Linked DNA regions of Sus scrofa. The protein of the gene in region 1 purifies or fractionates together with the protein of each later gene. This does not show direct contact. Links are inferred from orthologs where the notes say so. Each region holds a gene or a part of one and is shown in the gene's direction. Other genes may lie near its edges. The genes, in order: EIF4A2, EIF4G1, EIF3H and EIF4G3.

What was found.
Region 2: the proteins of EIF4A2 (region 1) and EIF4G1 purify together in Homo sapiens (affinity purification with mass spectrometry; 6 studies listed by BioGRID and IntAct, with this or other methods). This does not show direct contact. The link is inferred for Sus scrofa from reciprocal best matches to the Homo sapiens genes EIF4A2 and EIF4G1.
Region 3: the proteins of EIF4A2 (region 1) and EIF3H purify together in Homo sapiens (affinity purification with mass spectrometry; 3 studies listed by BioGRID and IntAct, with this or other methods). This does not show direct contact. The link is inferred for Sus scrofa from reciprocal best matches to the Homo sapiens genes EIF4A2 and EIF3H.
Region 4: the proteins of EIF4A2 (region 1) and EIF4G3 purify together in Homo sapiens (affinity purification with mass spectrometry; 3 studies listed by BioGRID and IntAct, with this or other methods). This does not show direct contact. The link is inferred for Sus scrofa from reciprocal best matches to the Homo sapiens genes EIF4A2 and EIF4G3.

Annotation. Positions count from the first base shown.
Region 1 is NC_010455.5:124,579,644-124,588,276, forward strand, and holds the start of EIF4A2 (eukaryotic initiation factor 4A-II), read left to right. Parts: upstream 1-3,418; 5' UTR 3,419-3,453; coding exon 3,454-3,482; intron 3,483-4,309; coding exon 4,310-4,355; intron 4,356-4,441; coding exon 4,442-4,574; intron 4,575-4,851; coding exon 4,852-4,991; intron 4,992-5,742; coding exon 5,743-5,911; intron 5,912-6,031; coding exon 6,032-6,141; intron 6,142-6,386; coding exon 6,387-6,530; intron 6,531-6,839; coding exon 6,840-6,977; intron 6,978-7,214; coding exon 7,215-7,304; intron 7,305-7,526; coding exon 7,527-7,606; intron 7,607-8,035; coding exon of another isoform or gene 8,036-8,045; exon of another isoform or gene 8,046-8,633. UniProt on the Homo sapiens protein: ATP-dependent RNA helicase which is a subunit of the eIF4F complex involved in cap recognition and is required for mRNA binding to ribosome.
Region 2 is NC_010455.5:122,218,973-122,226,068, forward strand, and holds the end of EIF4G1 (eukaryotic translation initiation factor 4 gamma 1), read left to right. Parts: intron 1-1,289; coding exon 1,290-1,388; intron 1,389-1,494; coding exon 1,495-1,629; intron 1,630-1,748; coding exon 1,749-2,112; intron 2,113-5,761; coding exon 5,762-5,946; 3' UTR 5,947-6,391; downstream 6,392-7,096. Other genes in the region: protein FAM131A, read left to right, coding at 6,739-7,096.
Region 3 is NC_010446.5:22,048,693-22,055,688, forward strand, and holds the end of EIF3H (eukaryotic translation initiation factor 3 subunit H), read left to right. Parts: intron 1-569; coding exon 570-690; intron 691-3,239; coding exon 3,240-3,372; intron 3,373-4,758; coding exon 4,759-4,856; 3' UTR 4,857-4,991; downstream 4,992-6,996.
Region 4 is NC_010448.4:79,376,424-79,385,045, reverse strand, and holds the start of EIF4G3 (eukaryotic translation initiation factor 4 gamma 3), read left to right. Parts: upstream 1-3,007; 5' UTR 3,008-3,188; intron 3,189-3,537; 5' UTR 3,538-3,709; intron 3,710-8,622. UniProt on the Homo sapiens protein: Component of the protein complex eIF4F, which is involved in the recognition of the mRNA cap, ATP-dependent unwinding of 5'-terminal secondary structure and recruitment of mRNA to the ribosome. Functional homolog of EIF4G1.

The DNA of each region.
Region 1 (8,633 bases):
TCCAGGGGCTTCCTTTTTAAAAATCAGCTTTTTATTTTGAAATAATTTTAGGTTTGTAGAAAGTTGCCAAGATCGCACACAGAATTCTTCCATATACCCCTCACCCAATTTCCCTCACTGTTAGACTCGAAATAAAACACAAAATTTCTGGGGGTTCCCTTCGTGGCTCAGTGGAAACCAATATGACTAGCATCCATGAGGATGCATGAGAGTCCCTGGCCTTGCTCAATGGGTTTAGGATCTGCTGTTACTGTGAGCTATGGTATAGATTGCAGATGCGACTCAGATCTGGCATTGCGGTGGCTCACCACAACGGGAACTCCTTTTGTTTGTTTTTTTGTTCTCATTGCTTTTTATGCATACCATAGTTTTAGATGTGCTGATTTGCAGTACAATAATATTTTTTATTTCAGTCATAAGGGTGGAGCTAGACAAACCTCCCTATCTTGATCACGCAATAGACTGTAATAACCTGGTATTAATTAATATAAACAGCCCCTTCTATGGTGGTCCTTATTTTTTTCCTTTCTTTCAACTCTATTATTATCTTTGCCTATCACTATGCAAATGGTTTTAAAATTATTGTGAAGAATGTGGCAATGAGTGCTACCCTCTAAATTGCTCCAGTGGACATTGCCTACATTCAAGCAGAATCTAGCCTCTAATTTCCTCCAGCCACTGAATAATAAAGAGGAGAATAACCCTGTTTCGATCCAGTTTTTAAACACTTATAGATGGAGGGACACCATGGATTATCCTGTGTTTACTAAATAATAAGTGACATTAATAAGTAATAAGAGAATTAAAGACCTAAAACACATATCCTAACAGGCTTTTGCATATCAATAGATTACCAAGAAACTGCTTTAAATGCATAGCTATCATTTCAAATCAACTGATGGCCTTAAAATAATGTTAGATTGGCAAGATGACATAACACGCCCTGAATGGTAAGAACACATGGTACTCTCTACATTAAGACTTCACTACCAAATATAAAGCATACTCTTTTAATGGAGCTCCCCTTATGGCTCACGTTAAGGAGCTGACTAGCATCCATGAGGACTTGGGTTCGATCCCTGGCCTTGCTCAGTGGGTTAAGGATCTGGCGTTGCTGTGGCTGTGGCGTAGGCCAGTGGCTACAGCTCCGATTCGACCCCTAGCCTGGGAACCTCCATAGCCTCAGGTGCGGCCCTGAAAAAGATAAAAACAAACAAACAAACAAACAAAAATGAACCAAAAAAAACCCCACACTCTTTTAAGGTTTTGTTACTCTTTTCCATGTCATACTGACAAATCTGTACTAATTCCTTGATTCCTTTGGTGAATGTTGGCTTACAGTTGCTAGATGGGTTTACAATTCGTCAGCGGAGGCTATTGAAGGGCAGAACTAAACTAGATGGCTCACGTAGTGAAAGAAGCAGAATTTTAGCATTGTTTGCAGTGTAAATGGCCTCACATGCTCCAGGTTAGCACGGAAACGTTTGTCCTTGACCTAGAGGTGGCTATCTAATTTTAGATCTCAGGTAAGTAGAAAAGTTTCTTTTAACAGTGAGAGTATGCTCTGTGTTGATATGCAAAACTTTGTTAATGTGTATGTTTTCTTTGGATCTTTATCTCACTTTTTACTTACTATTAAGTACTTAGCAAATGTGGTAAGCACAGCATTTATTAGAAATACATTGTAGAGCTGCAGGCAATGTATCCGGATTTTTGCTGGATTTTGGATTAGGAAGTTTTTCTTTGACCTAAACCCGGAGTTTGGCCCTTGATTATTTCCTGTTAAAGAGACTCTGGAAATCCCCCATATTATGAAACAGTAGCTAGACCTAAAGAAAACATTCAACAATTAACACCTAATTGTTGATTGACTTCACCCTATAGACTCAAGTGGACTAAGTTGTTGGCTACTTTTCTGATTTAGTATTTCCTTCAGTTTCCTGGATCCCAGGAGATTTTTAGTAGATTTTGGATGAGCCAACAAGGATTTCTGCTTTCTATTCTCAGACAATGTATGGCATTATCACAAATTTGGACTTGAACATTATAAAGGGATGGTTAAGGAGCAGCATCACTAGACTGCAGGCGAAGACACTGTCATCTGGGTATTAGTTCTTGTCAGTTTCTGGCACAACAATTTTCAAGCAAATGATTTTTTTTTTTTTGGAAAAAATGTGGCATTTAGAAGCAAGCATCATACTGAATATAGTACACAAATATAGAAAATTAAGTCATTTTTCCTGTTATCAGACTTTATGTTGGCAGTCTGATTTAATGGTAAAAGGTTTTCTTGAGTAATTGTGATATTTTGCAGTATGGGTAGGATTGTATTTCAAAGTTAAATGACTATATATATTAATTTTTGTTTTGTTTTTACTAATGAGTATGGGTTAGGGCTATAGTTGAAAGCCTCTGGAGCTTTAAGGGTTACAATGCTCTCAATATCAATAAATCAACATTCATTATATATAAGCAATTAAAATTCAAAAAGCCTTTTGGAAAAAAAAAAAATGACCGGAAGCAAAACTTATGTAGTCCCAAAGCGGCACGGAGCTGTACTTGCCAGAAGCATCCACTTAAATTCCTGAATTACAGGAAAAATTACCCTTCTATTTGCCAGTTTACAATGATTTTATCAGGCATTGCTCACACCTGTTAAAATTTATAACCTTTATTTTTAAAAGGCAGTGAGAGAAGAGGCAACATAAGAAAGGAGTTGGCTACTCCAGAGACAATTTGCAGAGGACCCTACACATTTCTTCTCGCCCTGCACGATGTACGGTAAAGCGGATCTCCTGTGACACGCTGGGCGGCCGACATTTTCCGCAGCGCGAGTTTCACACTGTCAAGGTCTGTATGGATGTTAAACGCTCGTGTCAAAGGCCAGGCGGCTCTTTACCTTCGCGTTAAGTAGCGGCGCGAACAGGCGGAATAGCCCGATTGCCCTCCAGTGCGGAGTATGGCCGTGCCTACACCTTCCGCACCGAGCACGGCGAGCACAGCGAGGTTCCCTGGCTCGCCTGCGGAGAAACCGGGGCCACCCAGCTTCCAAGGGGCCCCGAGCTTCCGCCTCCCGGTCCTGCCCGGCGCCCCGGCCGCCTCTGCTCGAGGGACGCGGAAACCCCGTAGGAGCAGGGCGGGCAGGGAACGCGAACCTAGCTACTGCTTGCTGCAATATTCTTCCGCCGCGGGTCAAAGAGTCCCAACCTTCCCCCAGGGTCCTGGGATTTTCAACAACCCTGGAATATCGACACATAATCAAATTTGAATTTTCTTAATGATTTGCTTCGAATATTTTCTGAGATAAGCATCCCAGGATCACAATTTTGTGACTGGCCGAAGAGCGACAGTAAAATTCCTCCGCGGAAAACGGGTTCCGGCCGCGAGCCTATAAAAAACGGGTGGTGCGGCCCGGCTGTCTTTTCAGTCGGGCGCTGAGTGGTTCTTTGGATCATGTCTGGTGGCTCCGCGGATTATAACAGGTATGGCGCTCTCTCCGGTGGTTTTCTATGGTATGGTCCTAAGGCGCCAGAGGAGATGGTAGTAGGCGGTGAGCAGGAAGAGAAGCCCTGGTTCATAGGCGTTGCCTTGGGCCACGGTACTCCTGTGTCCTTCGAGAAGCTTCCATGAAGTGTAGGGCCCGGGTTGTGGGGAGACGAGACGAGGGTAGGAAAACGGGGTGGTTAAAGCGTGTCTTTCCCCGAAGGCGCATTTGAATCGCAGCCGCCCCCCTGCCCCTGCGGAGCCCGGCGTTTAGTGAAAGCCATGGCGCAGCCCGCGGTTGATAGAGTCTAATGGGGCTCGGAGGTTTATTCGCGGCCAGCGGCGCGGCTTGGGCGCGCTAGACGGTGGTGGGGTGGGGGGCAGGACGGCGACGGCGCCCACTGCCCGCGGCTGGAGGCCGGATGGGGCCGCGCCGGCCACGGGGTCCCAATGAGCCGTTGGCTCGCCTCTCCAGGCCTCGGCCCGCGTCAATCACCCCGGCTTGCGCAGTGTTAGGGGCGGAGCTCAGCGCGTGGAGCTCTCGCGAGACGGTCCGCCGCCGAGGGGAGCGCCTGCGCTCGGGCTTGGAGGGGGAGGGCCGGCGTCGGAGGGGCCTTTCCGGGTGTCCTCAGGTCCTAACCTTTGAGCGGGCGCGCGGGACATTGTGTGCCCTGCGGCATCAGCTTCTTCTGCGGCTTTGGGAAGTGGACTCGTGCAGGGGAGGGCGACCTCAAGAGACCGGTTGTGAAAGCGCTTTTTCGCCCATGTGCAGTTGAAGTGGGTTTGGGGAAGGGATTTTCTCTAACTGCAGTGTTTTTGTTGGCAGAGAACATGGCGGCCCAGAGGGAATGGACCCCGATGGTGTCATCGAGGTAAGAAACGTGTGTGGAATTTGAAACTCTGGGAAGGTAAGTGTGTTCGTCCCATTTATTCCTTTTTTTTTTGCCCAAACTTTCAGAGCAACTGGAATGAGATTGTTGATAACTTTGACGATATGAATTTAAAGGAGTCTCTTCTTCGGGGCATCTATGCTTACGGTTTTGAGAAGCCATCAGCTATTCAGCAGAGAGCTATTATTCCTTGTATTAAAGGTAAAAGAATTCGGCTGTTTTTAAAAATGAATTCACTCTTCTGCATAGACCTGGACCGTAAAAGGGAACGTATACCTTCTGGGGGACTAGCACCTATTTGTATTCCAAAAAGTGAAATGATGGCAATCATCTTTCGGGACTGACCTGAAATGAAGAGAATACTCATTGCTGATCACTTGATTATTTGGGCATAATTATGTTCCAAATGGAATACATGGTGTGACTAGAAGTGACGGTTTGCTGTGGGATCGGTAAATATGTATCCTACTTTTTTTAGGGTATGATGTGATTGCTCAAGCTCAGTCAGGTACTGGCAAGACAGCCACATTTGCTATTTCCATCCTGCAACAGTTGGAGATTGAGTTCAAGGAGACCCAAGCACTAGTATTGGCCCCCACCAGAGAACTGGCTCAACAGGTATTGATAGTGTAGTTCAAAAAAACTGCTTGCGTGTTGCATAGGTTTCAGGTTTCACAACTGTGGAGAATTTAAAAGCCTAGTATAAATTGGTCCTACAGAGCCCTCCTTTTAACTGTCCATGCATGCAGGGAGTTATTGTTGAAAGTTAAACAGGAACTGGGTGTGCAGGTATGGTTTGCAAGGTTGTGTAACAGATTGAGAAACTGAAGATTTCTGTTCAGGCTGGACTAGATCTTTTCTCATTTTAAGTTTGAATCCAGTTGTGCAACATGAAAGCTGCAGTGACATGTTCATTCATTTGACTGTCTCAGTATGTGATACATCTGTTGCATGCTGCGTTTTCAAAGCTCACTACTATATTGGCTTTGAAGTAAACCTTGCTAATACACTTGTAGTTGTTATTAAGGTCAAGATTATATGCTGCAGTACTTTGCGGGAAAAAGTTTGTTAATGATGATAAATCTTATTTACTCCTTCCTGCACAATACTAATGTAGGAAATGTTTTTCACTCTAAATAACCTGGTTGGTATCTGGGCAATAGGATCCCAAGTTTTGACAAGGCACAAGATATTTCAGTGAAGTTTATCCTGACAGTTATATCTGTCTGCATTTTTTTCAGCTTGAAAGTAGTTAGGTGCTCTGCATGCATTAAAGCTGTTTGCAGACCACATACTTGTCAATATGCTTTGGAAGTTTAGTCACAGCATGTAATGCTGCTGGATGATAATTAACGCTTTTGGCTTTCAGATCCAAAAGGTAATTCTGGCACTTGGAGACTATATGGGAGCAACTTGTCATGCCTGCATTGGTGGGACAAATGTTCGGAATGAAATGCAGAAACTGCAGGCTGAAGCACCACATATTGTTGTTGGTACACCAGGGAGAGTGTTTGATATGTTAAACAGAAGATATCTTTGTAAGTATTACTCCCTATTAGTATAGTTTGTTGGAGTATAGATTTTTTTTTTTTTAACTCTTAGGAATCAATAACATGCCTGATAGTCTAGAGATAATAGTACGACTTTATTTTTAACAGCTCCAAAATGGATCAAAATGTTTGTTTTGGATGAAGCAGATGAAATGCTGAGCCGAGGGTTTAAGGATCAAATCTATGAGATTTTCCAAAAATTAAATACAAGTATTCAGGTGAGCTTTATTTTCCCTCATTTTCCTGTAATAGCTGGAGGTTAGGTTAATGCAGGTACTGTTACAATACAACTGAAGTGTTCTATTGTCATTCCCCCTGCTTAAAGTAATTGATGCATAACTATCTCCGTTTAGCACAATGTCTTGCTAAGACAGAGACGCTTGGCCTCAAACATTTTTTCCCTTGAGTATTGTGAGAGTTGGAATTGTGGGATGTGTGACAGTTCAATTATTGTCTTTTAAAGGTTGTGTTGCTTTCTGCCACAATGCCAACGGATGTATTGGAAGTGACCAAAAAGTTCATGAGAGATCCAATTCGAATTCTGGTGAAAAAGGAAGAATTGACCCTTGAAGGAATCAAACAGTTTTATATTAATGTTGAAAGAGAGGTAATTTGTCTAATTGTAAAAAATTGTAGCCAGGTTTTTTTAACCTTCTTGTATAAGCACTGTGCTAAAATTACAGAAACTAGGATCACATCTTGGTTTTTGTAATAATGCTAGCAGAGTACACACAAGAAGAAGAGTAACTGCACTAGATTGTAAAGACTGGGGTGGACCTCTTTCTTAATGTCCAGTGTCCTTTGTCTTAACGTTTGGTGCCATATATTTATTTGTAGATAGTCAAGCAATGAATTTTGAATGAATATAAGTTGGAAACAGTTCTTTTAATGACTTTTTTTTCTCGAAATACTGTAGGAATGGAAGTTGGATACACTTTGTGACTTGTATGAGACACTGACGATTACACAGGCTGTGATTTTTCTCAATACAAGGCGCAAGGTGGACTGGCTTACTGAGAAAATGCATGCCAGGGACTTTACAGTTTCTGCTCTGGTAAGATGTTCTAACCTAGTAATGATGGTTGAAGTCTTTATTTTTGTTAAAGCAGGATTTAGACTACAATATAGCTGTTAAGTGCTGTGTTGTCGTTCCCCCTGCTCAAAATAAAGTTGTTTCTTAACTATACCTGTCTGTTATACTCTGTAGCAGCCAGGGACGCTTGGTCTCATACATATTGATAAAAATTAAATGTTAATATGACTCGTGATCTTAAGGCTTATTAATTTGCAGCATGGTGACATGGACCAGAAGGAAAGAGATGTTATCATGAGGGAATTCCGATCAGGGTCAAGCCGTGTTCTGATCACTACTGACTTGTTGGTGAGTCTCTTACTGTTCTTTTTAATCTACCAAAAGTTTGTTTTGGGGGAAGGTTTTCTTTAATAACCTTTACCAAGTTTAGGCTATTTGGGAGAGTAAAGAAGAGACCACGCTCCACAGTGAGCTATACCATTTAGTATAGTTCATTACTATTTTGTGGCCTACATTACATAGGTGTCTAGTTTTTTAATTAGAATTTGAACATTATACATTGTATTTTAGGCTCGTGGGATTGATGTGCAACAAGTATCATTGGTTATAAACTATGACCTACCTACCAATCGTGAAAACTATATTCACAGGTGAGTAGGTGGCATCTTGATTTATTACTGTATTGGTAAAATTCATTTCGCTTTTCTACTGACTGATTTGTGTGAAAGGTAACCTCCAATCAGGGAATTAAGACAGTAACTTGGTAGGGTGTAATTGTATTTGGGAAGATTGGTCAGACACAGTGGGAAAACAGTTGTGAGTGTTGCCCAAATTGTGGACTTCATACACAGATGAGGTTGTTTTAGTTCTGTTGGTTTTAGCTTATTTTTGAGCTTTATTTTTAGTGATGCTCGTGTGTCCATGTGCTTTCTTGGTGATTTCTCTGTAGTTGGGATTTTCTTGGTGTTGTCTGGTAGCAATTTGAGCAGTCCCTGGTTTAGTTATAGTGGCTTTATCCCTAAATAAATTGAATTGTACTTTGTTATATGATGTAAAAAAAGACTTTTTAAAAAATACAGGAGTCGATAGCAGCAGTTGATGACCAGATGGCGCTCAGAAACGGCGTTGACGTAATTTAGGACGTGGAATCATAAGCGAAACAGCACACTGTTTGAATAAAGAGCGAGTCGGTATTTATATTTGTTTTTCTTTTGTCATGATTATTTGATATTTTAAGATGCTCCAGCCAAGGAATTTTGTATAGTAGCCTGTTAGGTGGTTTGTATTGTCTGGTATCTTATCAGGAAGGTTAGAAAGCTGTTTTGGAGGTAAACACGTTTGAATAATTAGAGTTTCAACGTGTGAAACTGAGCAAAAAAAAAAAAAAAGCAGTGATAAGTTTGGGTTACCATACCAAATACTTGTTTTCCCACTGGAAGAAGTAAGTTTTAGGCAGTAGTTAACCTTGCAGCATTTGTATTTACAGTTTACAGTTCCAGAAGTTGCGTCGAAATGGATTACATAACTGCTCTTTTTTGTTTTACCCTGGTGTTTTACATCTGTCCCAGGCTGACATCTGCTCTTGGCTGGCCCACTTTGGTATGGGCTTTAAATTCACTACCCCAAACACAATATACTGTCATCTGCTTTAAAAAAGTAATGCTCAAGACACCTGAT
Region 2 (7,096 bases), about 2.4 Mb from region 1:
TGCAACCTATACCACAGCTCATGGCAACGCTGGATCCTTAACCCACTGAGCGAGGCCAGGAATCAAACCTGCAACCTCATGGTTCCTAGGTGGATTCGTTTCTGCTGCTCCATGATGGGCATTCTTAAAACCCAGGAGTTATAGTAATTTTGTCAAGGGTTTGAATATCTGTTATTGTAAAACAGTGATGCCTTCAGAATATCATGCCCCTTACAGAAAATGAACTCAGACTGCTGTTTATGTGAAGATTTTCTGATTTGTGTTGGGGATGGAAGTTATATCTGCTTCTAAAATTTTCTGGATTTGGGAACCAAATAAGCATACTTGTAAGTTGTTCTTTCCTAGTTCCCCGCTGTGGCTCAGTGGTAACAAACCCCACTAGCATCCATGAGGATGCGGGTTTGGTCCCTGGCCTCACTCAGTGGGTTAAGGATCCAGCATTGCCGTGAGCTGTGGTGTAGGTTGCAGATGTGGCTCAGATATTTGCTGTGGCTGTAGGTGTGGACTGGCAGCTGTACCTCCGATTGGACCCCTAGCGTGGGGTTGCAGGTGTGGCCCTAAAAAGAAAAAGAAAAAAAAAAGTTATTCTCTTCCATAAGTGTTTGTTACCTGAATAATGGAAAACAAAGCTTTTTTTTTTTTTTTTTTTGTCTTTGTCTTTTTTGCTATTTCTTGGGCTGCTCCCGAGGCATATGGAGGTTCCCAGGCTAGGGGTCGAATTGGAGCTGTTAGGCCTCCGGCCTACGCCAGATCCACAGCAACGCGGGATCCGAGCCGCATCTGCAACCTACACCACAGCTCACGGCAACGCCGGATTGTTAACCCACTGAGCAAGGGCAGGGACCGAACCCGCAACCTCATGGTTCCTAGTCGGATTCGTTAACCACTGCGCCACGACGGGAACTCCAAACAAAGCTATTTTAGGAAAAGAAGTGTGGAAGACTAGGATGAGTTATTTGGATTTGGTCATTGACCTTTTTGTGGTCCATTCATTCTTTGAGAATCCTGTGACAGCTAATTGACATTTTTTTGGAGGCTCTTAGGCCATCCTTCAGGTCTCATAACACTGTAGTGGATGAATTCTTGTGACTTTGGGTGATTATTTGACTGATGTCCGTGCCCAATACTAGACTGTAGGTAGGCATGGAGGGTCTGTTCCCATTCAGTGCCTCTGTGGCATCTAGGCTCCTAGTGGGCTTCCAGTGTGTATTTATTTGTTGACATTTGTGGAGCCATTGTATTCTTGGAGAGAAAAAGAGTTGCTGAGTTTTATGTTTTATGTTTTTCAGGGTCCCAAAAAGGTGGGATCACTGTGGCGAGAGGCTGGACTCAGCTGGAAAGAATTCCTACCTGAAGGCCAGGATGTCAGCGCCTTCATCACTGCACAGGTTTGTGGCTGGAGTTAGGTTCTCTCTCACATCTGGGGCCAGCCAGTCCACACCTCTTCCCTCATCTCATGAGATGCACTTACCTGCCTCCAACTCTTGCTTGCAGAAGGTGGAGTATACCTTGGGAGAGGAGTCAGAAGCCCCTGGCCAGAGGTTATTCTCCTCTGAGGAGCTGAGCAGGCAGCTGGAGAAGCTGCTGAAGGAGGGCAGCAGTAACCAGCGGGTGTTTGACTGGATAGAGGTATATTTTTCCTGGATAAAGAAGAGGTGGTTATTGATGTGTGGGTGGGGGCAGCAAGAATAGATCCTTCCAGCATAATTAACTTATAATATCTGCTCGTTGCTTTTTCTCCTGCACAGGCCAACCTGAGTGAGCAGCAGGTAGCATCCAACACATTGGTTCGAGCCCTCATGACAACTGTCTGCTATTCTGCAATTATCTGTAAGAGAAGCCAGGGAGTGGGTGGGGCAAGGGTGGGCCCAGCAGCCATGTGGAGGGAGGGAGGGAGGTTTTGGTCTTTGCCTCCAGTTCTGAACCAGGCTGAGTGCATTATTCCACTTATCCCTGTCTTCCTCCCTCTAGTTGAGACGCCTCTCCGGGTGGATGTTGCGGTGTTGAAAGCACGAGCGAAACTGCTACAGAAATACCTGTGTGATGAGCAGAAGGAGCTGCAGGCGCTCTATGCTCTCCAGGCCCTTGTAGTGACCTTAGAACAGCCCGCCAGTAAGAGCCAGGCCACAGGAGTGGGAGTGGGTTGGAGGAACTGCCAGATAGTAGGGGTAGTTGTGAAGGGGTCTCAACTCAAGAAAGGTGGGTGGTCATTGGAGCAAAATATCCCGATGGTTGAGCCCTTTCCCCTGCAACACTGGTGTCCTTACCTACAAGTGAAAGGAGTCAGACTCAGCCTTGAAGGTTAATTGACCATCCACTTTGTGCCTAGAAGTGCAGAGGTGATAAATGGTAACATTTTCTTAGTGTGGGCCCTCTGCCTGACAATAGGGCTGAGCTGCTTTTCTTTCTTTGCCTCAGTTACTTCTCACAACTGTTGTTTAGGGTAGATGGTGTTGCCCCCTTTTCCATTTTGGGAGGCTGAGGCTTAGTGTAACATGCCTGAGATTATGTATTCAGCAAATAGGCATGCGCCAAGGCATTGGGGTGGTGGCAGTGCTTAAGTCAAGTGTAGTTCTGTTGGCATGAGTCAGGTGGATGTTGGAAGATGTGTCCTGTAGGGTACTCTCTCGGGGAATATACTGAGTCAGAGAGAATAATGGAAATTGACACGTGGGAGATAAATGACAGATGGGAGGGGGGAGACTTCACAAGAAAAAACTGTATAAAGGGGTGCCTGAGGTGGAAAATATGACACAAGGTAAAAACTGTTGAAGGAGGAAGACCAGGGTGGGAAGCACAGCACCTAGTGTATGTGAGGCAACATGGGTAGAGAGATGGACATGGTCAGGTCATGCAGGGCAGTGTAAGTCATGGGATAGATTTTGGGCTTTAACCTAAGGATGAGAAAAGGCCTTTTGTGGGTTTGTTTTTTTGTTGTTTGTGTTTTTGTTTTTGTTTTTGTTTTTTTTGCTTTTTAGGGCTGCACCTGAAGCATATGGAGGTTCCCAGGCTAGGGGTTGAATCACGGCTGCAGCTGCTGGCCTACACCATAGCCACAGCAGTGTGGGCTCCTCAATCCACTGAGTGAGGCCAGGGATTAAACCCGTGTCCTTATGGACGCTAGTCGGGTTTGTCAACCACTGAGCCCTGACAGGAACTCCTTTTTTTAGTTTTTAGATCATCCTGGCCATTAGTGGGAGGAGTGGTTTGGAGTGGGCTGAGTGTGACTATGGCAGATCAGCAGATCAGGGAGCACGTCGGTAGTGGCTTAGCCTTACTGGTGACAGTGGAGATGGGAGGAGGAGCGGGCAGACTCTAGACATACAGTACACTGGCCTGGGGAGGGCATGATGTGAGATAGGAAGCCGTATGACTCCCAGGAGAGTTTTAGCAGGTGAGGTGCCATTCCCTGGTGGGAAGGGAACATTGGGTCAGGTTGAGTTGTTTGTAGTCCTTGGTGAGGGTGAACAGAGATGTCAGTTGGGTAGATGACGTGGTATCTGAATTCATGGAGGAGGAAGAGGTCAGGGCTGGAGGCCCATCTCTTGAGTTGCTGGTACAGGACAACACACGTGCAAGTCATAAGAAGGGGGGTATTCCCGTTGAGGCTCAGTGGTAATGAACCCAACTAGTGTCCATGAGAATTCAAGTTTGATTCCTGGCTTCTCTCAGTGGGTTAAGGATCCGGCGTTGACGTGAGCTGTGGTGAAAGTTGCAGATGTGGCTCAGATACTGCGTGGCTGTGGCATAGGCCGGCAGCTGCAGTTCGGTTCACCCCCCTAGCCTGAGAACATCCATATGTTGAACTGTGGCCCTAAAAAGCAAAAAAAAAAAAAAGGAAGAAAGGAAAGAAACACACGAGGGTATGGGATTGTCCGAGGAATAGAGCCTTGAAAGGGTAGCGGTCCCACAGGTAGGGACCAAAGGAGGACAGGACCCTTTGAACAAAGGACAGAGTGATTTTTTAGGAGAGAGAGGTGGTCAGTAGTGCTAGATGCTGCTTGAGTTCCACAGGACGACGTAATTTAGGGCCTCTAGAGTGTGAAAACAAGGAGGCAACCCTGGCAGGAACATTATTTGGGGCGCAGGGGGCAGAACCTGTATTGGAAAAGACAGTGTAATACTCACTGAATCAACAAGAAAACAGCAAGTGCTGATAAAATCTTTGACAGGTCTTTTGTTTGGCCGTCAAGAAGTAGTGGCTGTAAAGGAGGTCATTTGTGTTTAGATTGGAGAAACTTGGGCTTGAAGACACACACATCATTTATCCACGGTAGAGTGGATAAATGATTGTGTAAGGTCCTTGGGGTTGGTGTGCATGGGATTTGGAGAACAGGTTTGGGATAAATGATCTGCTGTTGCCATTGCTGCGGAATGAGGGTGGGAGGCTACCCATAGACAGTGGTTGTGGATTTGAGGGTGTGCATGCCCTGAGGAGCTGTCCTGGCTTGCAGCTTCTCATAGACGGCTCAGTCATTGTTTAACCCAGGCCTGGACTCTAGATTCTCTGCTTTATTCAGAGGAAATGCATTCACTACTCAGTCTCCCTCTGCTCTTAAGAATGTCATGTTTGGAGTTCCGTCGTGGCGCAGCAGAAACCAATCCGACTAGGAACCATGAGGTTGCGGGTTTGATCCCTGGCCTCGCTCAGTGGGTTAAGGATCTGGCATTGCCGTGAGCTGTGGTGTAAGGCACAGACACAGCTCGGATCTGGTGTTGCTGCGGCGGCTACATCTCTGATTAAGACCCCTAGCATGGGAACTTCCATGTGCCATGGGTACGGCCCTAAAAAGACATGTATATATAACATGTTTGCTTTGGAAGGACTGGCAGTGTGATGTATTGGTAGTGGAATAGATTTTTTTTTTTTTGGCTTTTTCTAGGATGCACCTGCGGCATATGGAGGTTCCCAGGCTAGGGTTCTATATTGGAGCTGTAGCCACCAGCCTACACCATAGCCATAACAACGTGGGATCCAAGCTGTGTCTGTCAACTACACCACAGCTCAGGGCAACGCCGGATCCTTAACCCACTGAGCAAGGCCAGGGATTGAACCTGCAACCTCATGGTCCCTAGTCGGATTCGTCAACCACTGGGCCACGATGGGAACTCCTGGAATAGATTATATTCAGGGGTTATTCGGGTGCTTCGGAATTTGGAGTAGCTCTGGGTGAAGGAGAAAGAGGGTCAGAGCAAGGGGTGCCTGAGTTGAGCCTAAAGGAATTCACTAGGAAGGTGATAAAAGGTGAAAGAGAAAGGATATTCCTGGCAGTGGATACAGCACACACAAAGTGTTAAAGCACAGAGGTGGTGTGTATGTTTAGGAGATGTGTGGAAAGTAAAGAGAAGATTGAGAGTTTGTTGGGATCTGTAATGAGGGCCAGTGAATGTTCCAGGTTGTACCCTTGACTTTTGTTAAGAGATACATCTGAGGCTTTTGTGATTTCCTAAATTCAGGAGTACCAACTCTGCAGTTTTGCCCATTAAGTATATCATGAATGGAGAAGTTTGAAGCTGCTGAGGTGAGGCTGGGCAGGTTTCTAAGTTTTGTCCAAGTGACTCATTCTTGTGCACCGTCTCTTAGATCATGAGATTAGCGTCCTGTCAGAGACCTAGCCACTCTGGAATGGCCAGACACAAATGTCAGCATAGTGGGTCAGGGTCTTATCTCAACAGTGGAGCTTAGAGGAGGGATCCCTGGGGGGTGGGATGGGCTGGTTGTGGGCAGTATGCCTCTAACTACTGTCCTGCCTGCTTACAGACTTGCTTCGGACGTTCTTTGATGCGCTGTATGATGAGGACGTGGTGAAGGAGGACGCCTTCTATAGCTGGGAGAGTAGCAAGGACCCCGCTGAGCAGCAGGGCAAGGGTGTGGCCCTTAAATCTGTCACAGCTTTCTTCAAGTGGCTTCGTGAGGCGGAGGAGGAGGAGTCTGACCACAACTGAGAGCGGGTGGGGTCGGGGCCTCAGAGCCCCATGGACACTCGGATGGCCAAGCCAGCCGCCCGGACTGCAAGGGGGGGCGGCGGCAGCAGTGGCGGCGGCAGTGGGTGCCTGTAGTGCGATGTGTCTTGAGCTAATAAAGTGGCTGAAGAGGCAGGATGGCTTGGGGCTGCCTGGGGCCCCCCTCCAGGATGCTGCCAGGTGTCCCTCTCCTCCCCCTGGGGCACAGAGATATATTATATATAAAGTCTTGAAATTTGGTGTGTCTTGGGGGGGGCACCACCGCCTGCCCCTGGGGTCCTTTTTTATTTTCTGAAAATCACTCTTGGGACTGCCGTCCTCGCTGCTGGGGGCATAATGCCCCAGCCCCTGCACCACCCCTGCTGCTGCCTGGGCAGGGGGAAGGGGGGGCACGGTGCCTGTAATTATTAAACATGAATTCAATTAACTCACTGCCTCTCTGCTTTATGGCCTGCTCCCTCTGGAGAAGGGGTCTGGATAGGTGGGCAGCCTCCTTTCCAGAGCTGGCACCGTAGCACTGTTCCCTGAAACTTGGCACCCCCTCTTGCCTCTTCCCCTGTCCATGATTGCAAGGGCTAGGAAATCAAAGTGGACGTGGTGGGGGTTCCTTGCTGAGGGGAGAAGGGGAACACAGGTGTGAAGTACTAGACAGAACACACTTCCTGGTCTTGGTCTCCTATCAAAATGTGATGCAGACCCCAGTGTGTGGAGGAAGCCTTGGTTTTGGAGGTGTTTATAGCCGAAGCCCTCTGGCTTTGAGGTCTCATCTATAAAATGAGGGGCCTGGATGCACCGACGGCTTCTGACCCCATGCAGTTTGACTGGCAGCCTGGATTCTGTGAGTCTATCCAAACCTGCCGGTCTCCACCTTCCCCTGCCTTTGGGTCTGGAAGCAGCAGACGAGCGTTTTTTTTTTTTGCTGAGGGACTCTGCCCCAGGCAGCCTCTGCGTGGCTGTGACGTAGGCTCCGCCCCGCCTTCTTTGGGTAGTGACGTGAAGGCCACGCCCCCACACTTACGTCACTGGCCCGGTTCCCTCTCCCGGGAGCGTTGGCGGACGAGCGGCTCCCACCCCCTCCCCTCTCACCGACTCTTCCCCTCCCCGGTGCGGCGACCGCGGCCCGACCCTCTGC
Region 3 (6,996 bases), on another chromosome or scaffold:
TCTGGAGAGAAAAAGAAGGATGAATGACTATACTGAGATTCTAAGAAGGGTGGAGGAAAAGGAGCCCTCTTTTAGATTTGCAGAGTAAATGCTGTAGTTACTGTCTCAGAACCTGTCACATAGAGAAGCCATATGACAGAAGTCTCTGTGTTTGTGTGATTTGTTCTTTCTATGGCTGCTGATTTGAATGCTCTGAAGCACAATTGGGAAGAGCAGAGGTAGAGCTAAGGGAGAAGGTTCAGGAATACTGAGCTTACGTTAAACTTGGTTGTTCAGAAAGTATACCTTATAGATACCCTGCTAGATAGGTTCAGCTGTTTCTCCTCTTATATATGTGTACTCTGACAATAAGAAATTGAACTGTTAATTGAACTGTAACTACCCTTGTAGTTACAGTTGTGGGTTTGATATGAAAAGTTTAATAACAAGCCAACTCTTTCCTCTCTCTTTGCTTCCCTGTGCATGTGCACCTACGTTCTTTTTAGCAAGTGGAAGACCAGTTTAATAGTGTGAACATTGGCAAAGCTATAACTTTCAAGTATTATATGTCAGTATACTTTATATTTCAGCAATCATTTGGGGAAGAACCTCCAGTTGCTGATGGACAGAGTGGATGAAATGAGCCAAGATATAGTTAAATATAACACATATCTGAGGAACACGAGTAAACAGCAGCAGCAGAAACATCAGGTTGGTATTACAGGAAAATTCTACAAACAGAATCCATTTCTAAGTATTATACTTCAGGAGTCATCTTCAAAATGATCTAAATTATCTTTTGTTTGTTTGTTTTTTGTTTTTTGCTTTTTAGAGCTGCACTTGCGGCATATGGAGATTCCCAGGCTAGGGGTTGAATCGGAGCTTCAGCTTCCAGCCTACCCCACAGCCACAGCAATTCTAGATCTGAGCCACATCTGTGACCTACGCACGGCAATGCCGGATCCTTAACCCACTGAGTGAGACCAGGGATCAAACCCGCAACCTCATGGTTACTGGCCGGTTCATTAACCACTGAGCCACTATGGGAAATCCACTAAATTATCTTTGATAAAGCATTGACTCTTAGATAGTAACTCTATATCATATTTTAAAAGATAATTCTGTACATAGTATATTCCTACTATATATTTATAAGTTGGATTTAAAAAATACCTGTCTTTAAGAGTGTTGTTTTTTTTAAAAAACTCAGATTGTAATGTCAAGGTTATGCAAATAAGAGATACATTTATTGAGAAAATCAGGCAGAGAGATTCTAGAGAGTCACAGCTCATTTCTTTACTAACTGTAATTGGTTTGCTAGTGGCTCATTGCAGCATAGTTAGCAATCTTCAGTTCATTTAAAAAACTGAGCAATTGTGATTAAGAGCAAGCAGTTTTGATAGGAAATAATGGACCAACTGCTGTGAAATAGATAGTATAATACAGATAAAAACCCTAGAATTACCTGGATATTCTTATATGCACGTCCATACTGCTCTGGCCATTTAATCTTTTCTTATTAGTGTTGCCTGAAGGCCGGCCGAATGATTTTTACAGTTCCTGGAATATGGTTTTGGTCTGTATTGCTTCGAAATATTCTTAAGTTTTAATTCATAGATAGGTTGATTCTAGAATGTATATTTTTCTGAGTGTTCAGCTCCTCTGTGTTCATTAAAATGTACTGGAAACTAGGTGTTGGTGACTATGGGATTTTAAGTATAGCTAAGTCGTTTGAGAATATTTAAATTTTTTTAATATTAATGTTCATATATTTAGTGGAATTTAAAATACTTTGTTTCTACAACAAAGAATTTTAAAGACATATAAATCTATATAAAATGTCTTTTTTAATGGAAATGATGGTGGTGAAGATGGTGAAAATCTTTTTGAAACGAGGTGGGGGAAAAAACCCAGCTTGGTTCCATTCCTCTGCTGCACTTCCTATCAGATCAACTGGAGGATCAAACTGAAAACCTGTCACCCATGAGAGTTGATTCTGTGATTCTGGAAACCAACCTCAAGAGATTTTTTTTTCTTCTTCTTTTTATGGTCACATCTGTAGCGTATGGAAGTTCCCCGGCTAGGGGTGGACTCGGAGCTACAGCTGCTGCAGCTCATGGCAACGCTGGGTCCTTAAATCCACTGAGTAAGCCTAGGGATTGAACCCTCATCCTAATGGATACTAGTCTGGTTCTTAACCCACTGAGCCACAACAGGAACTCCCAAGAGGTTTTTTAAAAGAATGCTGTTATGTCTTATTTATGTTTGACATTTATTCTTACTTAGCATGTTCATAACATAACCCTTTTCAGATTTGTCTCACTTCTACTCTAATACCCATGTGAACATAGAAATATTTGCAGAGCAACTTACCCCCTTTCTATAGGAATCTAAGGACTTGAATTTTACCAGCCTATCCTGGTTTCTCATTATGCAACCTAAGGTTTTGTGTGGGATATTATTCCTCTGCTGGTATAAGCAGAAACAACTATTAGCATCTTGATTGTAATTTGAACTATAAATTTATAGGTGATCTGTACTTTCGTATGTTCCCCCACTTTCTCTGCGGAATCATAAGAAACTGGAGTTAAGTTTTTGAAGCCTTATCTGAGCTAATAGTATTCATTCTTAGCTATAGAGCTCTAGAGCACAGCAGATTATCTGTTGTTAAGAATAGTAATAGTATTTACTATCATAGTAATAATAATGGTGATATAATTGTAATATCAGCAGCATTATTGCTGTTTCTGTCAGTAGGGATAAAGTTTAAAAAATTCCCCAATGTGGTTTTTCATTGTTTAGTTAAAGTTAAGGTGAATTGTGCTTGTAATGCTGTTATTTATCCCATTGTCATAAATGGTAAAGTTACTTCCTTTCTGTCATTTAAAAAATTTTATTTTCTTTAAAAAAAAAATCTCTTGAGAGTTCCCGTTGTGGCTCAGCTGGTTAAGAACCAGACTAGTTCTTCACCACCATCGTTTCAATTAAAAAAGCTTCTTTTCTCACATAACTAGTTTTGTTTTTCCAAATCAGTAGTTGTAGACTCTGAGAGATCAGAGTGACATGAGAGTTTACAACAGAAATTTTCTTTGACTGTTGCTGTATTTAGCTTCTTACAAGCAATAGTTACCAAGGGTTTCCGTGTATAAAATCAAGATCAGAATTCAGAGCTATGGGGTTTTGCTGATCGCATAAGTGAAAGAGGTCTTTTTTCTCTCAGGTAGAGAAAAATAACCAAATATTTCCCCTGTGAATTTTAGTATCAGCAGCGCCGCCAGCAGGAGAATATGCAGCGCCAGAGTCGAGGAGAACCGCCACTCCCTGAGGAGGACCTGTCCAAGCTCTTCAAGCCGCACCAGCCCCCTGCCAGGATGGATTCACTGCTCATTGCAGGTATCATTAGTTAGGGCAGAGCACGGCTGGTTTCTTTATTCCTTAGGAAGCAGGAGACAGAGATTCCCAAGCAGAGTAAGACGTAAAAGCTAGTGTTTTTCAAATGGTTGAATGGTGAATTTGAATCTAGTATCTATAATTTCTGAAATTTAAGAATTTGTCAGACTTTGTTATTTTTCTGGTCCTTTCATTGCTTCACTTTGTCTTTATCTAGACACTTTTGAGATGGCATTATATAAACTTTCTAAAATGGGGAGGTTTTATGTGCGTCATCTTTCAGAAAAAATGTTTATCGTCTCATAATGCACAGATCATTTAGAGTAAACGCTTACTTAGATGTTCTGGCCTAGCCTTGAGCCCAGGTCTGTATGTGGCTGTTTGAATTGGAGTTTTTGATTCAAGAAGTATTATTACCAGTACTTGGACCTGTAGCAACGTGAACTTTCTCTGGGGATACTTAACATTTAACACAGCCTTAAGGTCTTATGTCTGTGTTAGAACTTGATTTTGAATATGTAACATAACATTATTGCTCTTAGTTAGGTGTAATACCTTATTTCTGTATAATGTCATTGAACAGTCATTTGTCTGTGAGAGATTTGTTGGAGTGAAAATCCTACTCAAAGAAAAGCTGATGTTACAATTTCTCAGTTCTATTGATACAGTGTTAGTATGGGGGAAATTCCAAATTCCTTTAAACTTTCTGGTATACATATAAATTAAATTTAGGAAACTGAGACGTATTACTTATTTAACGTTCAATTCAAGCAGGATTGTATTTCTTATACTTTCAAAAAACATGTTAACTGTTGCATCAGATTAGATTATTAGTTAGAGGACTTCAGAAGCAGTGATAGAGCCCTTTCTTCACATGGACTCTGCTCCTGCTCTGTCTTGGCTCTGGGGCTGTTGGGGGGGGGGGTGGCCTATTAATATTTCCAGAGCACAGACTGAAAACCCCTTTACTTGTTAACATCTGGGTCTGGCGGGCTTGGTTGGTTTGCAGTTCTGTGATTCGGTATCTCCTTTCTACCTGGCTAAGAAGAGCCAGTGCTATTTTCTCACTTGTCTTAGTATAATCCTGGTCTGATCTGCACAGTCAGTACTATTTGATTCACAGCTAACATGTGCCTAACTGCTAGTAAGTTGTAGATTTTCTTCATTCTCCGTGTAACCAAGAGTGGAAGATAGGTTATTTTTTCCAAGAACTTATATTCTTTATTATCCCTTATAAACAAATTCTTACAGACTCTTGATTCAAAACATAACAAAGTAAAATTCTGGTGATTCTGTATTATGCTGATTTTCTTGTTTGACTAGTATTCTAGGTTGTTTTACAATTTGTGGAACGTTATGATTCTCTTTCTCACTTTCCCAAATGCACAGGCCAGATTAACACTTACTGCCAGAACATCAAGGAGTTCACTGCCCAAAACTTAGGCAAACTCTTCATGGCCCAGGCTCTTCAAGAATACAACAACTAAGAAAAGGAAGTTTCCAGAAAAGGAGTTAACATGGACTCTTGAGATCACATTGGGGCGACTTTTGGAAGAAACACACTTGCATATTGAAAAGTCTTTCTAGCACATAATAATAAAATAAAGATAAAACAATCTTGACTGCTTGCTCATTTGATTTTAGACTTATTATATTTAGCTCTTGTTCTTGTTTTGCTTATACCTGTGTATTTCCAAAGATAAAGCAGGCTTGACCAGAAGCTTCTTCAGGCCCAGACCTACAGGCTCCTCCATCACCTTGTTATCTCTGGTGCCGCATCTCTGCCACTCAGCCCAATGATGCTTTTCCCCAGCGCCTGACCTGGAAGCCCCGGTTCAACTGTGGATTCTAGTACTTCATCGCTCCCGAGTGAGTGCTTCCTATGCTTACCCTGGCTGCCCTTGTCCCCAGGTCCGAAAGTGCTTGGCGAGCTCCCCACGGTCTGTCTTTTTTCTTCTTCCTGTGGCGGTAGCCCAGTCCCCATGCTCATAGGCCATTCATTGGGCATAAAAACTTAAAAAAAAAAAAATTATTTCACCAGAAGACATTATTTTGTATGAAAATGAAATTTATTCTGTGTGTATTTTTTTTCATTGAGAACTTCATTTTTTTTTTTCCATGTCTTGAAATATAATTCTGCCAAATAGCAAGTTTTATGAGTGGGGAAAGAAGAATTGGGAGACAGGTACCATATTGGGGCAAAAAAGACTATTTTAATAATTTTGTATTTGAAATAAAATAAAAAATGCTGCCATTTTTGTAACAGCACAAACCACTGAGATTTACTAGCTATGGAGGTGTGCCTATGAGACTCTTATTTGGTGATTTTCACCTTGAAGATATGGCTGATAGGAAGATGATCAGAAGGAATGGATAATGGGTAAGAAGAGTTCAGAAGTCCTTTTTTCCCAACAACATTGTTTTGGAGGCAGCTCTGGGGTCTGGTTTGATTGATCATCAGCTGGATGGCAACCTGGTTCTCTTTACCGTGTTCTTAGGTCACATAACTTCCCTGCACCTCACTCTTGATTTGGAGGGGATGCAAGGAGACATGTGTTAGCTGTAGGTGTGAGAGCCAAAGGCTTGTATGGGAAGCAGCAGTTGGTGTGGAGCAATCTCGGTGTGTACCATGACCTAGGGCACATGCTAGGTTCACTGTTCAGGAAGTTGGCTTATTAGCAGGTTTTTGCTTTTAGAAAGATCAGGCCCTTCACTACTCGAGAATTCAAGTACTTGCTCACATGTAATTAACTTTCCTAGGATAAACTCCTAGAAGCAGACTTACTGGTCAAAGGGTGTGTCAAATTCTAAGGCCTTTAACTCTGTTGCCAAATTGCCTTCTAGAAGGGGTATACTGATTTGCACTCCTGCCCATGGTGAGTCTTATTTGGGTGAACATGTATTTGAGTGTGGCTGTGGTAGTAGACAGGTCATATTGATAAACAAAGCTGGTGCCCTTGTGGATGGGATACTCCTTTGGTTCATTTCCCTGAATTCTGCTTGCCTAGATGTGGAATTTTATTGTGGAGTTAAACAAAGCACCCCTGAAGTGTCCAAGAACAAAGTGAAAGGACAGTCAGTTCAAACCTAACCTTAATTACTGTTTTCCTTATGGTGTGTGATTAAGAAGAGTCAATTATATTTTTTAAAGGGGTGATTCTTTCTTAAATTCTATATGAATACTTAGACACCTGTAGCTCAGTAATATGTGAGACATGCCTAACAGACGATTTCAGTAGTTTTTGAATTAGGAATTACTGTAGTGGGAAAAACTGTTTAGGAAAACATGTCAATGGGAATGAAATCTCCACAGTATGTAGCGTTATGGAATAGCTTCTGTTCGGCATTTGATCTGAGTGCTGTATTCTGACATTTTTCAGGAACAGATACATGTGGTTCATCTTCTATAAATATTTGCAGTTTCTTCAAGTTGAAATGAGAAAAGCTCATAAACTGAGTACAAGGTCTAATAAATCATTCACGTACCCAAGAACAAGAAGAACAGGAAAAACTAGCATGTTAATCTAATGGAAAATTAAATATTACAAGCCAAGAAAAGTAAAACCTCTTTGGTATTAACCCCATAATCATAGATAATGCTTTATTTGGTTCTAGAAAACATAGTAT
Region 4 (8,622 bases), on another chromosome or scaffold:
GGCAATTCATAATTCTTCTGTCCTTCAGCAAGTTTTATACCCTATTTATTGAATGCTAGATATTAGGGATATTTTAAATGACCAGAGGATGAGTAATAGCTAAAATGCATCCAACGATTACTAAGTGGCAGGGACTGGGCTAAGTTCTTTATATTTGTTGTACTCCCTTCCCTCCTCCCTCCCTCCTTTCCTTCCTTCCTTTCTGCTGTGTCCAGGACAAGTGGAAGTTCCCAGACCAGAGATCAAGCCTGCACCACAGCAGCAACCCATGCTGCTGCAGTGACAATGGATCCTTAACCCACTGCACCACAAGGGAACTCCTATTGTCTTATTTCTCATGATAGGAGGTAGCGTCTCCATTTTACGGGGTGAGAAAAACGGAGGCTTGGAGAGGTTAAGTAATTTCTCCAAGATCACACAACTAGTTAGGGGCAGGGCTGAGAATCAAATTCAGGTAGTTTGGTTATGATGGCTCACTCTGAATTGCTCAACACTGAGCTTTAAGCATCAGCTGCTGAGGGAGCCTAAAGGAGGGGTGCCTAGCTCAGCCTGGGGAGGGGGGAAAGGCTGTTTGGAGGAAGTGAGGCCTAAGCTAAGCCTTGAAGCAGGAGCAGGAATTAGTCAATGGGCTGAGAGGAAAGAGGATGGTTGGGGTTGTGGTCAGTATTACAGGCCCCAAGGCAGGGGGGAGAATGGCTTTGTTTGCAATGGAGCAAGGTTGCCGCAGCTTGAGGTTTGAGGTGGGGAGTGGCAGGATGGAAGCAGAATCCAGATCCTGGAGGGTCTTGCCTTGAGACTGGATCCCGAAGGCAATGAGAAGCTATGGAGGACTCTCAGCAGACCACTTTACAAAATCAGCTTCCTTTGTTGAAGGTGCTTTTGGCTACTATGGAGAAGATGCCCTGTAGAAGGCAATGTGGCAGATCAGAACTGAGTCAGATACCCGGGTTTGAATGACTGTTTTCACTTGAAAGTTATACAAGTTCCGTCTTCACATCTTTGAGCCTGGGTTTCTTTATTTGTAAATGGAATATCATAACCTTGAAGCGTTGCTGAGGTGAATGAGTTAATCTAAGCATAATACTTCACAGAGTTGTACCCTGGCACCCAGTAGGTGTTCAATAACACATAGCCACTCTGTGTTAGTTGGGATGTGTTGAACAGGACTAGGCTTTTGGATGAAAGGAGAGCACTCTACTATTTGACTTTGCTCCCTATAAGCCTTCCGAATGGATTGCCTGGGGCCAGAATCTTATCAGGGACTTTTACATCATTTTGCCCAAGGTCTATCCGTTTTAAGAGAGATAATGCTCATAAAGTGCTTAGCAAAGACCAGACACACAGTAATCGCCTGATGCTTGCAGCTATTAAGTGAGAAAATGAAACTAGCTCAGAAAAGAATAACAATTAAGCAATTATCAGTCTGTTATCACCCTAGTGTAAGAGGGAAGCCAAATTCTTTCCTGGGAACAGGTTTCCATTGACCTGAGGACGTCTGAGATCTGGAGAATGGCAGGAGAATCTGGGGATGGCAGGACCACTTGAGAATTTTTCTTGGAGTCAGTCATGTCTAGAAAAGAGAAGAGAATCTGATCCCAGGTAACCAGCTGTCACAGATCCAAATGGTTCAGTATTCTGGGTGATGAAGTAGTTCCTGCCTTCTGTCTGGAGATGGGGAATGATGCTTTCTTTTCAACACTAGGAACCCTCACCAGAAAGACACAGACTCATCTTCCAGATAGATGCTTTTTCCGAGAAGGAGCTTTTGGGGTTCCCAGGGACTATTAAGAATTAAGCACCTACTATGTTTAGAGCTTTATGTGAATTGAAAGAAAAAAAAATGGCAGTGTGAAGCAGTATAGCAGGAGGCAGAACCCACTCTGTAGTTGTCTCTGCCAACTACACTCTCCATGTGACCTTGGGAAAGTTTTTCCTTCCTCTTGAGCCTCAATTTTCTCAGCTCCTTGTGTCGTGTGATAGTATGAGCATCTCAGTCTCTTCATTTGTAAAATGATTACTACCTACTTCACAGGACTGCATGATAATGAATATGTGTCTGGTAACCATTATTACCTGGCTTGCTCCCTGATCTCTCTGTAATTCCTTTCTACTCAGTGTCCCTGTGCTTGGACAAGACCCCAGTTGGGGGAGGAGTGTTGCAGAGGGGGTGGGATGGTTTTGGTCGGTCCTGCTGGTGAGAAAAGGAGTTTATCAACAAGTAGGACCCAGGGAGCCGACCACTGGTCCCCGGTCAAAGGGCGCTCCTGTCTTGGGGCAGGCCTTGGAAGAATCCGTCCACAGAATCCTAAGTTAAGGTTGCTGACTAGATAAGGCAGGGCAGATCAGGTCCCCAGGCAACTTGGGAGGTGGCAAGATTCCTTCAGATGAAGGTGGATGTGAGATCCAGGTTGGCTCTGCCCTTTCCTGGCTGGGTGACCTTGGGCCGGTCACTTTTCCTCTCCCAGCCTCAGGGTGCTCTGGAAATGGGGCTCCTCATCCCACTCGCCTCTCTGAGGGGACAAGGGCGAAATGTCGACACAATGGACGGGATCAGCGTTAAGGGCCAGCGAGTGCTATTAGTTATGCTAATAGGTGCACGCGGCAGGTTCCTATCCAGCGGTTCCACTCTGGTTAAGCGGTTGCTCCCACCGTAACTGAGGTTTCTCGCCTCACCGCCTCCCGCCTCGGCGGACAGGGCTCTGCGGACCGCAGGCTCGAGGGCCTTTACCATTGTTCTCCGAGGTGGGCGGCAGGGGAGGGCTCTCGCAGACCAGACCTCGCCTTTGGTCTCTCCCTCCGCCCCGCACCCCGGCTGCAGCGAGCCTGGGAAGCCCCCTTGCCGATCTTTCCCGAGGAAGCGAGCCAGTTCCAGAGAGCGCCCGAACGGCGGCCGAAGACGCCCCCGAGCATTTCCGAAGAATCCCGACCGCTCCCAGTCTCCGGAAAGAGCCGAAGGGGCTTCCCACCCTCGGCCTCCCGAACCATTCCGAAAAGGCCCGAAGTTTTCCGAGCGGCCGTCCTGCCGGACTGCTGGAGGCGGCCGCAGCGCCATGTTGGATGCTCTGCTCGTTGAGTGAAGAAAATCCGCCGGCATCGCCTGAGCCCCGCTACCGAGAAGGGCGCCGCTTCCCCCGGGGAGGGGGATAAAGACCCCCCGCCGCCGGCCCATGAGGATATTGCCGTGAAAGGTCCGGTCTCTCCGCCTCCTGCCCCCGCCGGGTCCGGCCCCCCCCCGGGGTCGCGTTGTCACGGAGACCGGCAGCCGGTGGTGCTGGCCCGCGGGGCGGCTGCTGCTGCCGGCGGCGGCGGCGGCGGCGGCGGCGGCGGCGGCGGGCGTGTGTGACCGGCCCCGGCCCCCTCCTCCTCCTCCTCCCAGCCTCCCCCCGGCCCCCGCTCCCGCCGCCTCCCCGGGTCTGCCCCCATCCCGCCCCCCCGCTGCCCCCGGCCCCTGCACCCCGGCGCGCCCGGTCCCGCTCTGGGGGGGTTGGTGGCTTCGCTTTGCCATGAGTTTACCGCAGAAACCGGCTCTGAAATCAGGCTCAGCGGCTGCAGCAGGAACCGGACCCGGCACCGGAGCGGCGGCGGCGGCGGCGGCAGCAGCGGTACCGCCTCCTCACCCGGCGGCAGCAGCGGCGGCGGCGGCGGCGGCGGCGGCAGCGGCCCCTCCTCACCCGAACATCAGGGCCCTCCAGACCCAGGCGCCCCAACAGTATCCTTTTCACCTTCCTGCCGGCCGTTCGGCTCTCTTCGTCGCAGACCAGGGGGGCTGAGGCCCCTCCGGGAACCCTCCTGCCGGCAGCCACAGCCCAGCCGGGGAAGGGACTATTCCTTCAGCCCACGCACCCGGCTTGGCCGGAGCTTTTGGGGTGACCCGGCAGCAGCACTGCGGGGGACCCCGGGACCCTCTGCACTACTGTGAAAACTAGCTCCGTCGGCCTTGCTTCCGCAGCCCTTCCCTTTTGGAGCTGGGGACCCTTCCCCCTTCTCGCCTCTCCTCCCCACCCCCCCCCCCTTTATTAGGCCGAATTTGCTGGTGCCCGGGACCAGCCCTGCAGGGAAGGCTTTTCTCTGATTGTTGTGAGGGCTACACCCTCCTCCTCATCTCCCTTCAGCTCTCCCTGCAGCGGGGCATAGTGGGCTTCCCTAAATATTATTAATACCTAAGAAACTTTATTGGTAATTTTACTGTTTGAAACTAAACTCAGCTGGTTCCGGAGGTAAGTTGGATTTTAAATCTATGGCGAAATTTTGCGGAAAGCACTCCCTCTGGCTAATGTTTTTTAGCGATTGGGAGAGTTGTGATGTGGTTTGTGGTGGAACGCGATCTGAGGAGGAAATGTTACACCGGACGCTTCCCTGTCTTTGACCTTTTTTAAAGGAAGAGGAAGTTAACTGACATTACCCATCACCCCCAAAAGTCTCACTTCTTGGAAGGCTCGTGTTATGCTGATTGTTTTTAAAGGGCTTTAATTTACTCTTCATAGGCCTCATGTCTGGAGGGTGCCAGGGCTCCTGGAGGAAAGTCTAGTATTGAATGTGTCTAATTTCATGTTATTTGCTCGATTGTAGAATTTTTGGACAGCTTTGATTGGAAAGACTTGGTGACGAGGTATTTTAGTTAAAAACCAGCGGGTGAAGGTAAAACGTTGAGTTCATGAATTCCACGGAGATTTAGAGAGGTATTATTACCTACCTGAGAATAACATTTCATCATGCACCCCTCCCCCCCAATCCGTTGTATTTGTGTAAATCAATAAATAATCATTGGATGGTAGATGTGTTGTGTTTTTGTGTTCGTGTCATTGTGTGTTTGACTTTTAGAGTAGGGTGTTTGAGCAAATAAGCAAATGCGAAACTAACTGCTGTGAGGTCCACAGATTATTTCACGGTCTGTAGTTTGATTCTTGTCTGTATCCATTACTTTGAGAAGGGAAAGGTATCTCCCTTCTAAAGTCATTTCAGGTCATTGTTTTGGTTTCTTTCAAGTGTCATTTTCTCTTTTCTTTGAATGTTGTTATCCACATTTTTTTCAATCCAAGCAGTGTGGCGCAGAGTAAGATAAATTCCATTCCAGTGTGATGTGTGTACTGATTTCATAATGTTAACTGCATGATTCTGTTCAATTAAGAATTGTTCACCGGTGAGAATGGTTAGTGATATCTTAGTGTGCGTTGCCCATGGAAAATCTAGTTAGCTTTGATCAGTATCCCTAGAGGCTTTAACTGTTGGGGGAAAAGTTTGGCTGATAAGCCTACTTCAAGGTGAAGTTCAGTGCTGCATCTCTGAAATGTATCTTTACTTAATGGTTTGTGAGTTAAATTCCTTTCTTATTTTATTTTATTTTGTTTTATTTTTTTTGGGTCTTGATTGCCCAAACTTGGTTAGGGCTGTAAGTTTCTATGCTGTGCCACCAAGTAAGTTATTCATTACCTGCATCTTGGAGCTGTTTTGGAAATTCAAACAAATGAAATGAGGACCATACTATGTCTTCTTGAATATAAGGTGATGAGGACCAAAGTGCTGAATATGACAGTGCTTGGTGAGTTTTGTGGTTATTTGGACACAAAGAGCTGTGACTTCAGTGTGTCAAGTGAGTGTGCTTTTTCTCAATGCATTTGACAGGAAGGGCATATAAAAACTGAATTGGTTGCAACATAAAAGTAGTTACTGATTTGGCAACAGTTGTTAAAGGGGGTAAATTTAAGATGGAATTTCCTATGGGAATACTTTTTATACTTATGTGTAGTAATATAGGATACTTAGTTTTATGTGGCTTTAAGTTTTTACTTTGCCACTTTGCCTCAGGTCATCAAAGTTAGAATTTAATTTTCTTCTTAAGGCATTTCACACTTTTATTACCTTTTCTTTGCTTTATGCATTGAAAGGTTACAGTTGCTAAAATCGAATTGCTTTTATAGTAAATCCAGTATAGATTTCATTAGAACAACCAATGGTGAACAGTTATCAATGGCAATGGGGAATTGGTTAAAAATGGATTAAATAGGGCAATTTTGCTTCTGTACACTGAGGGTATGAGAATTTGTATTTGACAAAGTGATTATTGCATGTTAAGTTGATAAATATTGAAGCATTCAGGCTGGAGTGTGAAGTTGGAGTTGCTCTTTCTATAGCTTGATTAACTCTCCAGTTCCTCAAAATATATGGGTGTGGGTGCAGTAGTGGTTTTTTTTTTTTGTTTTTTGTTTTTTTTTTTTTTTTTGACTGCACCCTCAGCATGTAGAAGTTCATGGACCAGGGATCGAACCCATGTGACGGTAGAGACTTGTGCCACAGCTGCGGCAACACCAGATCCTTAACCTGCTGCACCACAAGGGAGCTTCATTGTTTGAATTAATAAATTTAGATAATATTTTAAATTTGTAAAAATGTGAGGAGATTCATGTAACAAGATGTCCTTTATTTGTGCTTAGTGTTCAGGTGACAAATCAGAAATAACAGTGAATTTAGGTATTCCCTGGTGGCTCAGCAGGTTAAGGATCTGGCATTGTCCTAGTACAGCTCTGGTTACAGCAGTGATGCAGGTTCAATCCCTGGCCCAGGAACTTCTGAAGGCTGCAGGTGTGGCCCCCTTAAAAAAGTTAAAAAAAAAAAAAAAAGTGATGGTGAATTTGAATTTAAGTTTAAATGGGGAGTTCACATCGTGGCATAGCAGAAATGAATCTGATTAGGAACCATGAGGTTGCGGGTTCAATCTCTGGCCTCACTCAGTGGGTTACGGATCTGGTGTTGCCCTGAGCTGTGGTGTAGGTCACAAATGTGGCTCAGATCCTGCATTGCTGTGGCTGTGGCCTAGGCCTGCAACTATAGCTCCAATTAGACCCCTAGCCTGGGAACCTCCATATGCCACGGGTGCGGCCCTAAAAAGCAAATAAATAAATAAATAAATGGAACCTTCTTAGGCATCAGTATGGCTTGGCAGACTGTTAAGGCCATTTCAGGTAGAGGCCTATGACTGTTGAGAGGCTAGAGAAGGGACCAGCAAGGGATGGAGCATGCTGGAGGGTGGGCAGGGGTGATGGCGGATGAAAGAAGAAAATAAACCCTGATATAAAAAAGTGCTAATGGCAAGGGAGAAATACGTTTAGCGTTTTCATAATATAATCCAGTATGAATAGTTTATGAAACTGACACGTCAGGATACTTGCCTTGAGATTTGCTCACCTCAGCTTCTCAGTATGAGGTTTCAAAAGGCTTTATTGAGAATCTCAACAGTGTTCTTAACCTTTTCTGGGTAACAAACAACTTTGACATTTTGTTGAAAGCTTATAGACCCTCCACAGAAAGTTGTCCATGCACAGAAAATCTTCCTTATATTTCCAGAGAGTTCTTGGGTCCCCGTTAAAAGCCTTGTTCTTTAAATGCAAATTGCTCACTCTTGAGATAATTAAAGATAAATGAGTTTGAATTTAGGTGCCCAAATAGTTCTGACTTAAACAGAATAATTTTGCAGTCTGTTATGAATACACAGTGTTCTATTTATATGGGAAGACTTCAGGATGTAATTTCTCTCAGGGCTGCTGACAGTTCTGGGGAGTCTAGTTACTGTTTGGGGGCAGTTGTTTGGGTTAAGAAAATCAGAGCAGTGGGTTCTTTAAAGAAACTAAATTTGGTAAAGGCCTGTTATGACCTGAAAATGACTTGTGTCTTCAGCTATTTTGTCTTAGATATGACATATATTAAAAGCAAATATTGTCTTTTTGGGGGTGTTACAATTTTCCTTTTTTTGGTATCCTGTGTTGATTTTCAGTTTTATCTTAGAGATTGAAACCAATGATGTTTGCTTCTTTTTTGCCTCCACCAAAGCTAAATCTGAATAATAACAATAGTACTCATTTATTGAGTGCCTCCTGTTTTAGGAGTCAAACATAAATGATTTTTTAAAATTCTCATGAGAACACTAATGCAGTAGGTACTATCTGTTTTTCAGATGAGGAAACTGAAGTTTAGAGAAGTTCAGTAATGTTCCCATGGTTGTCTATGTAGTATTGTCTATCTAGTAAGTGGTGGACTGCAGTTCAGACCATCTTACTGGCTCCAGAGCTTGTGAATGTCCTTTCTACTCTGCGGTGCCACTTACCAAGTCTGTGTGTGGAAGTGGAAGGAAGGATACTGTCCCTCATTTGATAGCTTGGGGAAGTCTATATACGGTAAAGGAGATCTGTGGAGCAATCTAGAAAGAAGTGACGCTGTACTTTGTTTTAATTAGTTCATAGCCGCATACTGCTAGACATTCAAAGTAGGTTATCTTTACCTCATTGAGCCTTAAAGCATAGGAACAGGCCTGCCACATTTGATTCAGTGCAAGTTTCTGCTTGTTCAGATATTAATAAGGCCTCCAGCAAAATACCTTTACAACTAGAAACAAGAACTCTCTAACTCATGCAGTGGACAGCAGTCTGTTTACTCCTAAGCCCCACCATTAACAAAGATGGATCTGTGCTTCTAGAGAGCAGATCCTCTTGGAAGGAGAGAGGAGAGAGATCAATGTAAGATGGAGATAAAGAAGAAAGATGGGAAGAAAAAAAAAAAAAGATGCCTGAGTCACATCAGCTCTTGCCTCTGCTGCTGCTACTCCCTGTCCCAGGCTTATGGGTATTTTCT